3 linked regions of the Elephas maximus indicus genome follow. The protein of the gene in region 2 interacts with the protein of the main gene of each other region in a pairwise test. Links are inferred from orthologs where the notes say so. Each region holds a gene or a part of one and is shown on either strand. Other genes may lie near its edges. The genes, in order: DDX17, SF1 and RBM17.

Region 1 (3,747 bases), on a different chromosome or scaffold from region 2:
GTAGGGAGAGGAAAGCCACTTTAGAAGTGAAAGTGGAGAACATGGCCTACCTAGCCTAGTTAAAAACATGTACTTATGCTCTCACTTCCGCGTCTGAAGACCACCACTCTTAAACTGTTACATTCTCGGAGACCGTGAAGGGCCTTCTGGGGCAGCGGCATCTACCTAAGGAGGTTCCCCACCAACAATTTGCTTCTATGTTTGGACGTCAACTGTGCTCAGCTGAGAATGGTACAAATATTCTGTTCAAAAAATGCACTTCAGTGTGAATCAAGTAGAGCAGAGAGCGCTTTAACCCTGCTGGCATGTCGCCGCCTGACCCCCTCCCGAAAGAACCGGACAAGGCGCATCCATCATGGCTGCCGGCGATAGCGCAGGGAGAGACAACCGAAAGGAAATGGAGACCGGGTGCGCGGCCTGTCTCGGCGGGCCGAGGGCGGAGGGGCGAGGGGGCTTGCAGGGCTATTTAGGAGCGCCAGCCAGGGACCCCTAAGACCCTCCTGGGCTTCTGACACTCGGAGACCCTAGAATTGATGACTGCAACATGGAGGTTAGTTATTGTCCCTGAAAGCAACGCGGCACTCCATCCCGCGGTCGGAATCCGGCAAACTCTATTCTCTAAACATAATGCGTTACGCATAGTACGCATCTTCGCAATAGTGGGCAGGCTAAGGCCGCAAAGAATGTTACGTCGCACCCGAGCCTCTTCCTCCCCACCCCCACCCCGCGTTCCAGTTCAGGTGGCGCGAGAACTCTACGCCCGCTCCGTACTTTGTTTTTCTTCTACCTACCGTAAAACACGCCCATCTCCGCAACTAACGTAAACCGATTCCAAGAATAGTCGTATTACTCCGCGAGGCCCTCGGGCTATTCCGAGACGCTGTTTACGTATCGTCTCCGGCGTACGTAGCGTTAAGCTGGAGCAGGCTCAGCAGCGACCGCCATTTTGTGCAGTCGCTGGGGAGGAAGGAGACGCTTAAAGGCAGCACTGCTGGGTTTAAGGGTAGCTAAACCTACCCAGCGTTTTAGTAATCCCGATTCTCTTGTGTTTTGCTCCCGTCTCCGACGAGAGAGGCGGCGACGGTGGCGTCTGCGACGGGAGATAGCGCGTCGGAGCGAGAGAGCGCCGCGCCTGCCGCCGCCCCAACAGCGGAGGCGCCGCCGCCATCGGTCGTCACCAGACCGGAGCCGCAGGCCCTCCCGAGCCCGGCCATCCGTGCCCCGCTCCCAGATCTCTATCCCTTTGGGACAATGCGCGGAGGCGGCTTTGGGGACCGAGACCGGGATCGTGACCGTGGAGGGTAAGGGGGGAGGAGGAGGAGAAGAAAGGCCTTGGATGTACGTGGGGCGGGAGGAGGTGGTTTCCTGAGGAGACTGAAGCCTTCGGCCTAGCGGGAGCGTTGGAGGAAACTGCAGGGCTAGTCACCCTCTCCCCGAACCCGGGAGGCGAGCGGGACAATAATAGCAGTTTGGTGCGCTGGCCTGTGGGCGCGCCGGGGCCTCGGTCCCGCGGTCACTCGTGACCTGGCAGCAGGGGCGGCGGCTTGGCGACGCTCCAGCTCCTCTTTGTGGACGGCGGTCGTGGCGCGGCCTGGCTCCGAGGGGAACCAGAGGCCGGGCCGGCATGGCCGCCGCCAGCTCGAACCCGGGCCGCGCCTGGTTTCCCGGTTTCAGAGCCCGGCCGACGGGGCGAGCCACTGAATCGCTCTGGGCCTCGGCGGTCGCCCGGGAAACTGGGGGGATCCTGCGGGAAGAGGGGGACGTCGCCTGATGCCGCCTGGGAAAGCGTTAACGCGAAATGGCTTCCCTGGTGTTCTCTAGCGCCTGAGATGGCTGTTACTGGGTTGGGAACCTGGTTTGAAACTGGACACCGGGAGGCCGACTCTTAATTTTTAGGATATTTTTTAAATCCCCTTCAGTATCTTTTGTTTTCCACTTTGGAGGAAGCACGTTCAGATGTAAATGATCGTGTTTGGGAAGGGAGTTTTTTTTTGCGGGGGGTCGTTATTGTATTTTTGATTATTTTTCTTCTCGGTTTTTTTTTTTCCTCCCCCTCTGACTGGACTGCAGTATTAATTTTTCAGCCTAGCTATAAAATTCTTAATGTGACAGTGACACAATGCCAAGGATTCTGGAATGGAAGTTAACATGAGATCAGACCTGAAGTACTTCCAGAGACTGAGTTTCAAATCTTAATGTCGCTGAAATGAAAAAGATGCTTAAGAGATCCATGCACTGATTTGTACTGTAACTTTTTTAGTTAATAAAAATTATGTCTCTCTTTAGAGTAGTACGAATCCACTTCTTAATATATGCGTGACCTTGAGCAAGATCTTCAACCCAGCGTATTTCCTTCTCTGATAACTCTCTTTACTTTGCAGTGTTTTGTTACTCTGTCCCCACATTTTGTCTTTTGTAGCTCAGATACACAAGTACCAGATTTACTAGCCGCATGTACCTCAATTATCGCTTAATTTACCAAATAAAAGATAATTATTTTGTTTGTACTTTGTTAGGAAGGAAAATACTTTTATCTTGGTGTTAAAAAAAGAAGGGCTAAAAATGAAACATTTGCTTGGAGTTTCATGATATAGCTAAGTGTAGAAGTGAATTTCAATACAACCATTTAGGAAAAAGAATTATATCTAGTAAAGTTGAAAATGACCAAGTAATTCCTCTCCAAGCTTTAAACCCTACATTTTAGGGCCTAGAGAAACCCTTGCTCACGTGCCCAGGATGCATGCACAAAAATGTTTGTAACAGCATTGTTCCATGATAGCAAAATACTGTAAACAACCCAGATGTCTGGATAACTTGTAGGTTTTCATGCAATAGAATACAGTAGCTAAAATGAATAAACTTACATCAACATGGATCACTCATAAACATAATATTGGATCAAAAATCAAGTTGTGGCAGAAGGATAGCTTGTTTAGTATGTGTAAAAATATGGTAAAACTATAAAGAGCAGGGGAATGATTAGCAGAGTTCAAGGTAGTTGTTAATGGTGGAATAGTAAACTTGAAATAGGCACATAGGGGCTACCACAGTAGTGTTAATGTTTCTTTACCATGGATGTTTGATTTAATATAATGTTGCGTATATGTTTTTAAGTGATAAACTATTTGAAAAGAAAAAACTTGAGTTTGGATAGTAATTCATGCTTAGTTTATCCCATATCGATGCTTCTGAGTATTAAGATGACATTTTTTTTTAAGCCTTAAAATTATTAATTTCAAATAATAGCATTCTTTTATGAGGTCTGAGCCCTGTTTTCACGAATTTTCCTTTATGATTCAGTATAAACATTTAATGAGCAGTTCAGTAGTGTACCCAGGTATTAGGTTATGTTCACATTAAAGGATGGCACAAACAGGCTCAATTCTACAAGGATAAAAGGTTCTTTTTCATTTTGAGGTCAACATTAATTATAAACATAAAAGACAGCTACTTTTTTTTCCTTCAAATTTTACCTTCAGTGTGAAATAGTACCTCTTGGATAAATAACGAGGGCAGTAGGGAGATGGGAAAATACCTTTTTTGTCATCCCTTAAAAAAAATGGCTGTTGAGGATAAACTTTAAAAGGAACCTCTTTCAGAAGTTGTTTTCTCTTTCTAAAACATTAGTTTTAATGTCAGATCTGGAAAATAGCATTGAAGTGGCAACTTCTAGGAAACACGTAGGTTTGTATAAACTAGATTGATAGAATCTCTAAAAATTGGTGTTTTGTCATTTTTCTTTTCTTT
Region 2 (3,747 bases):
AATGTTTATTTATATTTAAGACTCTGTACCATCTAAGGGGAAACCCTGGTGGTGTAGTGGTTAAGTGCTACAGCTGCTAACCAAAGGGTCCACCAGGTGCTCCTTGGAAACTCTATGGGGCAGTTCTGCTCTGTCCTATAGGGTCGCTATGAGTCAGAATCGACTCGATGGCACTAGGTTTGGTTGGTTTTGGTACCATCTAAGGAGTCTTGGTGGCACAGCTCGGCTGCTACACCAGCTGGTCCTTGGAAACCCTATGGGGCAGTTGTAACTCTGTCCTATAGCGTTGCTATGAATTGGAATTGACTCAATGGCAATGGGTTAATAACTAAATCATTTTTTCTTTACTGAATTGAAACATCACTTTTCTGGTATTCGTGCTTGCATATGGGGAATCTATTTCTGGACTCTACTCAGATTCTGCTCCACCGATCTGTCCTTCCTACAGCCAATATACGGTTTTCGTCATTGTGTCTTTATACTACCCTATCTGGAAAGGCGAGCTCTTCCTCAACCTCTGTTACACCTTTTTCCACCATTTTCATTCGGATATGATTTTTAAGATAATTTCTCCAAATCCCTTCCAACCCCGTTGGGATTCTAATGGAAACGATTTATTCTTGTTAATTTTAGAACTGACAATTTCATATTATCATTCACCTAAGATTTTTTTTAAGATTATTTAAGATTATGTTCTCACATTAGCTCAGATAATTTTTAATCCTTCAATAAGACTATGCCGTAGCTGGCTTCTTTTTTTTTTTTTTTTTTTGCACTTTTTAGTTTTTTCAAAGAAAACCCAAACCAAATCCACTGCCGAGAAGAGTCGATGCCGACTCCTAGCTATAGAACACAGTAGAATTGCCGCATCTGGCTTCCCAGGCTGTAAGTCTGTACTCTTCCGCAGAGCGCCTGGTGGGTTTCAACCGCAAATCTTTCGGTTAGCGACCCAGCGCTTAAACACTGCGCCACCAGGGCTCCTTCAAAGAAAACAGGAAGTCCCTTTTTACCTGCAGCGACAACGGATCCGGTTACTGCGCGCGCGCGCGTCGCCCCCCCCACCCCGCCACTCCACGGGCCCGGGTTACCATGGGAATAGAGGATGACGTCACCCAAAGCTTCAGCGCCGGACCCAGGGGTCCACAGCCGACAGGGCTGGAAAGGCGGCTTTGCCATATCTACGCATGCGCACTCCCTGCCCCTCCTTCCTGCCTTAAAACTCGTTGGTGCTGGGGCTCCTCAGCCGCGACCTCTTGGTTCATCCGGTCGAAACTTCGCCCCGGAGAGTAGAAAAAGAATCGAGCGAGTGACAGCCAATCCCAAGACATTACGACGCCATCAAGATTGACTGACTCAACGGACTCCAGCCAATGAGAGAGCGCTCCTCTTCCACGTCATAGAGTTTGCCCATCCCCTCCCCGCCTTCCTGGACTCCGAGCTCAGTCCGCGCAGTAACAAACGAACTGCGCGCAGCGACAGCCCCAGCTCGCCAGGCTTCGCCGCCATTTCCTCCCTCGGCCTAACGGTTCGGCCAATCCCAGCGCGCATCGACAACGGCTAGGGACCGGCCAATCGGAAGACGCCGATCCCGACCCCTCGAGCCTCGGCCCGGTCCAATCGAGGCCCCGGCCCCGCCGCCCCCGGCCCGCCCCCGCGGCGCCCTCTCTCCTCCCTCTTTGTGCGTCTCGCGCCGCCGCCGCCGCCGCCGCCCGCCGCGTGAGAGGACGGCTCCGCGGCAGCGCAGTCCGGCCCCCCCCCGGAAGATTGGCGAAGGAGAAGCCGCCGCCGCCGCCGCTAAGGAAAAGGAGCCGCCGGTGCCGGTCCCAGGGGCGCCATGGCGACCGGAGCGCTGGGTAAGCTGGGCCTCCCCGGGCCCAAAGGGAGCTTCGAGCCGGGGCCGCCGCCCGCCCTCGGGCCTGGGGCGGGTCTACTGGTGCCCGGGCCGCCGCCGCCGCCGCCCGCGGGCGCGATGGGGGCCCTGACCGCGGCCTTCCCCTTCGCGGCGCCACCGCCGCCGCCCCCTCCACTGCCCCGGCCGCCGCTGCCGTCCCCGGGCTCCGCGAACCCGCCGCCGCAGCCGCCCCCTCCGCCGCTCTACCAGCGCGTGTCGCCGCCACAGCCACCCCAGCCGCCGCGTCAGGACCAGCAGCCAGGCCCGGCCGGCGGCGGAGGAGGTGAGTCGGGCCGAGCGCGCGAGCGGCGTCGCGCCGACGGGCCCGGCCGGCTGAGGGCCGCGCGGCTTCGGCGGCGGCGGCGGCTGCACGCGGCAGGGGCGCGCGCGGCCTGGTTCACGGGGACTCTACCGCGCACGCGCGCGGGGGGAGGGGAAGAGCGGGAGGCAGTCTGCTGTGCGCAGGCGCAGTGTGGCGGCCAGGCCTCGGGGCGCCGCTGCAAAGCCCGGGGCCCTTATTTGCTCTCCGGTCCGCTGGCATAGGGGGAGGCGTTGAGTGGCCCGGGTGTAGAGGGTGGCAGGTGGGTAGACCGGGAGGACAGGAGAGCGAAAGGGTGAACTCGTGACTTGGGCCGCCCTTTTGATGGTCTAAGTTGTCTGAAAGGGAAAAGAATACCCAGAATCGCCTCCCTAGTTGCACCTTAAGGCGAGGTTTTCAGTACAAAGAATGAAAGAGGTTGAGAGTTTCCACCTGATGGTTGGGGCTGTTCCTTCCTGGTCCCTTTTTGTGGGGTGGGGTGGGGGGAATCTGGTCACTGCCTTCCCTGTTTTATTTTCTGATCTCCCTTCGTTTACCCTAGAGCTTGCTCAGTCTCACCGCCTCCACTTTACTGTTGTTTTTAAAGACTTTCCCTCTTGGCTTGCACCCTTGGGGAACTAGAACGACTTCTGCGTGCTAACAGTTGGGAGTTTCTGCCTCTCTGTCGGGGAAGGGCCGCTTAGCTGCTTTCACATACCTTGTTGGTGTGAACTCATACATCTTTGAAGAGTTCAGACTTTAAGTGTCTACCTGGCCGGGATCACCGAATGCTGATCATGGCTAAACGCATGGAGAGTAAGGTGGTGGTGTTGAAGGATTGGGCTTTTCACGCAGTAGTGTGTAGTGATGAGTTCAGGGGTATCCCGGCTCCATTCAGAAAGGTGACTGGTGCGGGGTGGAGGTAGGAGCCAGCAGTTCCCCCAGCATTGTTCTACAGATTGTCTGTGGTCCTTCACTCTGCTCCTGTCTCCCCTGGGGCTTCTGAGGCATTCCGGCCAAGGTAGTATAGACGCTATTTACTTTGTTAGTATTAAATTTAATTACGTGAGATTTTGTGTACTACGTTTTGTCATTTCATATACACACGTTAGTAGTTTCTTTAGAGGGAAGTTATAAATGTGTAACGTTAACTTCTCTGACCCAGCTTCTCTTACGCTTGTAGTAGCCATATGTTTCGTTTTAATCTCTGATCTCTGACATTTGTCTTACATTCCGTGATGTTTAAGTTTTAGGTTGGGCCCTCAGTTTCGCCATCTGCTGAGGTTCTGTGGAATACAGGTGTCTTGTGCTGCCTGTTGGCAGTTACTGTGCTAGTTTGTATTTGCATCTGATGGATTTTATCTGCCTTTAGACTTCCCGAGTAAGAAGCGGAAGAGGAGCCGCTGGAACCAGGACACAATGGAACAGAAGACGGTGATTCCAGGAATGCCTACTGTTATTCCTCCTGGACTTACTCGAGAACAAGAAAGAGCTTATATAGGTAAATACACGTTCTGCATCTAAACGCATTTTCAGGTTGTTACTGTTTATCCTGAAC
Region 3 (3,747 bases), on a different chromosome or scaffold from region 2:
TTGTGCCACTTCTATTAGATTCCTAGGGTATATACCTAGGAGTGGAATTGCTGGATTATATGAAAGCTCTACCTCTAGATTTTTTTAGGAACCACCACATTGTTTTCCACGAGGGTTGTCCCATTTTGCATTCCCACTAGCATTGGATGAGGTTCCAATTTCTCCACATCCCCTCCAATGCTTGTTATTTTCCTTTTTCAAAAACAATCTTGGCATCCTAATGGGAGTAGAATGGTATCTCTATCAGTTTGAAATATTCTTGGCCTCCAATTTCAGTTGTAAAAACGATCGTATTTACACAAAGTCCCACTTTCACTTCCCCTCCTAACTTTTGTTAGTTACATTATTTTTAAGTTGTGAAGGTTTATAACATTTACATTCATTGCTGTAACCCTATTCTCCATATCTGTTGTTTTCTTAACCTTACAGTTCAATCATTTCAACGCTTACTACCATTTCCTCTGCTGCAGTTTCCCCATTCATCTCGCCCAGGGATTTATTTTCAGCTTTTTGTATATAAATGAATGGGTTTCAATGAATTAAAATGAAGAGCCAGGAGGAATTCTCTCTCCCTCTCCCTTATTAGAAGACATTTGGTTCCCATTGAGATCTTTGCAACCTTGGACCATTTCTACTTCTTACCGTCCGGGGTCACTGTCACCCTCTCCAAAAAAAAAAAAAAAAGTTATGAAATTTCAAAGGTTGCGCCAAGGCGACACCTTTTGGTGGAAGAAAAAGACGCCGACGGAGGGGAGTCTGCAGTGCAGACCTCCTACCGTCAGGGGGCACTGCTGCGAGGAGCCAGCAGCGTAGGCGTCCCCTCTCTTCCGGCAGTACACGTTCTCTGACCCCCGCGCCGCGGAACCTCCTGCGGATTTGGCGTAGGGGTTGGCGCCAGCTGTGGGCTCCGGTCGTCGGTAGGTTTACGCAGAGTGCGTCCAAATCTCCCTTTTCCGCGGCGCTTCCGGGCTCGGTACGGAGCTTGCGCGTCTCGGACTGCGGCTCCGCGCTGCCGCCGCTCCGGCCCATGGGGAAAGTCGGCCGGGTGGGCCGGGTAAGTAACCCCCTTCGCCGCCACGCCGGCGGCCTGGCGCGGAAGCTGGGGCGGGAGCGCCTTCCCGAGACAGAGCTGGACGTGAGGCCGCAGCTTAGGCCGCGCCGCGGTGGGAGCGGAAGGTTTTGACCCGGGCCAGTCTAGAGCTGCCGACGGTCTCATACTCCAACGCTTTCGGGTTCCTCTCTCCCTGCACTTTCTCTCGCATCTTTTGCGTTGGTCTCCCCTTGCCTCTGGCTCCCATGCCCAGGTGCTGCCCCCGGCCTTCTCTGTCCGCCGCATTTCTCATCGCCTTCCTCCGCCCCGCTCTTGACTCTGCAACTCCTCGCAGCACCTCTGCCACTTTTCCTTTATTTTCTTCTAGTGACCCAGTGCCTCTCATTTCTCCTCTTTTCCCATCCTTCCCTTTCTTGTCTGTCTGTTTCAATCTCTTTTGGACTAAAGAACGTTCCTCTCTTTCGTTGACCATGTTTAGAAAAAGTTTATCGGTCCCTAGTTTTTTTAGCCACTAGCTTCTAGCAGCCAGGACAATATGTCACCTGTGGCCCAGCTCACTTGCATCGCTCCAGGGCTCAGGGAATTAAATGGAAAGAAGGCATTTCCATCCCTGGTCTCAGAACAGGGAATTCCAAGTGTTGGCATCTTTCAAAGATGGGAGCTTACCTGGGCAGATGGAGGAAGTCATGATTCCGGTGTTACCTTACTCCTTGTCATTGTAAAGGAGTGTTTTAGTTGTGATGTTTAATCACCGAACAACGTGTTGTGAACTGTCCAGACAACAACGTGTTGTGAACTGTGGATGCAGCATGAGTAAGATTTTGCCACTACTCAAGCGTTTGGTCTCTAGGGAAACCGGCATGGTTGTGCTTGGGTTGATATGAGGGACTAAGGTGTGGTTTGGAAAGGCTTTAAAGAGGAGGCGATGCTTATGCTGAGTTTTAGAGAATAAATAATATTTTGTTAGATATACAAAGTATAGGAAGAGTTTCCTGCAGAGAAAATAAGTGAAAAAGTAGCAGAGGTGAAGCACCATAATGTATTCTGGGAACTGCAGGTAAGGCTCAAGAGAAACATTTGAGGAGAGTAATTGGAAGGGTAATTAGGTCAGATCATAGAGGTTCTTTGAGGAGAAAGTAAGGGAAAGCATTGAAGGCACTAATTGGAAAAACTAGGCATATGGGTGGATATTCTAGGTAAGTGCAAGATTCTGCACATACTCAAGTAGATGGGTGGATGAGGACTTCTGTGACTTCCTACAACAGGTGGAGATTTTAAAGGATGCATCTCAGTTTCTACATTTTTACTGGATAAAGGCAGCAGGCATTTTGGGTAATAATAAGGGTTTTTAGGGAATAGAGGACAATTAATAACTTAAATTGAGCGTGTTTTATTTTTAGAGTTTAGAAAGAGTAGGTTGTGTGATAGATAATGTAACAAGGTACAAGTATTAGCAGTGAAGAGCTCGTCTGACTGTGGAGTTCAGTGGTTACTAAAGATAGCTTTTATGGAAAAATAAAGAATTTTGAGAGAATTGTTACGCACTCCTAGATGTGATTTTATTAACTGTGTTTCTTTTTAGCTGGTTGTTTTAAATTACTTTCTTAGTTTTTGCCGAATGTGAATTCTTCAGACCTCCCCTGGCAGGGAACAGATGATTCAGGTCTAGTAATCCCTCAAGCCTTTCATAGTAGTTAATTGTGAAGGATGTTCTGTTTTATACCTAAATTCAAGTGAAGTTTGTTTGTAACACACTCCAGTGTATGGCATTGTGGAAGTAGAGTCTTTGAGAATGAATGTAAATATTAAACTGTGACAAGGGTGTCCCTGCACTGCACCCTAGCTCCTAGACCAGGGGAAGATTTATAACAAGGACCTTCCACCAGAGCTGATAGAGAAGAGAAAGCCTTTCCCTGGAGCTGACACCCTGAATTTGGACTCCCAGCCTACTAGACTGAGAATAAAATTTTCTTTGCTAAAGCCATCTACTTGTGGTATTTCTGTTATAGCGGCTCTTGATGACCAAGACTGAATTTGATACCAAGAGTGGGGTGCTGCTTTAACAGATACCTAAAATGTGGAAGCAATTTTAAAACTGAGTGGATAGAGGACTCAGAAGGAAATGAGGAAAGCTGTTACATTGGGGTTGGCACAGACAGCAAAGGACTGGCAGCAGCAGAACCAGAAAACCAGCACCACATGGTGCTGGACCTGACCCACAGAGCGAGAGAACTGAGTGTGTTTGCACAGGAGGCTTCCTGGTGGAGTGAGGTGCCTCTGAGCACTTATTGGTGGAGCTAGGCTTGCTGACCCACTGAGCAAGAGAGCTGAGTGCCTTCCAGTGGAAGTTTACTGGTGGGGTGGGTTGCCTCCAGGTGCTTATCGGTGGAGCTTCAGAGCTCTGGAACACCTGCTCCAGCAGGGCATATGCGGGTGGTGAGGCCCAAAGGGCCAAGAGGACAAGGAAGCAGAAGCTGAAGAAACAAGGAACACTAAAAGCAGAGCTGCCTCAGTCTCAAAGGGCATGGCCATGACCTCTGGGGTCTCTAACGGTGGAGCCATGGCCTTTGGAGTTTGAGTTTGGAGTTTGAGGGGGTGGAGTTGCCACTCAAATGGACTAGGAAAACTAAAGCCGACAGAGTGGAGTTGCCATTCCAGTAAGCCTGGAAAGCAGAGCTGAAGCCCAGGGCTGAGGG

The links.
Region 1: the proteins of SF1 (region 2) and DDX17 interact in binary tests that used the Homo sapiens proteins (3 or more experiments, as listed by UniProt). The link is inferred for Elephas maximus indicus from reciprocal best matches to the Homo sapiens genes SF1 and DDX17.
Region 3: the proteins of SF1 (region 2) and RBM17 interact in binary tests that used the Homo sapiens proteins (3 or more experiments, as listed by UniProt). The link is inferred for Elephas maximus indicus from reciprocal best matches to the Homo sapiens genes SF1 and RBM17.

The regions. Positions count from the first base shown.
Region 1 is NC_064822.1:182,372,448-182,376,194, reverse strand, and holds the start of DDX17 (probable ATP-dependent RNA helicase DDX17), read left to right. Parts: upstream 1-1,045; 5' UTR 1,046-1,251; coding exon 1,252-1,301; intron 1,302-3,747. UniProt on the Homo sapiens protein: As an RNA helicase, unwinds RNA and alters RNA structures through ATP binding and hydrolysis.
Region 2 is NC_064825.1:127,946,257-127,950,003, reverse strand, and holds the start of SF1 (splicing factor 1), read left to right. Parts: upstream 1-1,423; 5' UTR 1,424-1,834; coding exon 1,835-2,174; intron 2,175-3,561; coding exon 3,562-3,690; intron 3,691-3,747. UniProt on the Homo sapiens protein: Necessary for the ATP-dependent first step of spliceosome assembly. Binds to the intron branch point sequence (BPS) 5'-UACUAAC-3' of the pre-mRNA. May act as transcription repressor.
Region 3 is NC_064822.1:52,636,154-52,639,900, reverse strand, and holds the start of RBM17 (splicing factor 45), read left to right. Parts: upstream 1-829; 5' UTR 830-917; exon of another isoform or gene 918-1,054; intron 1,055-3,747. UniProt on the Homo sapiens protein: Splice factor that binds to the single-stranded 3'AG at the exon/intron border and promotes its utilization in the second catalytic step. Involved in the regulation of alternative splicing and the utilization of cryptic splice sites.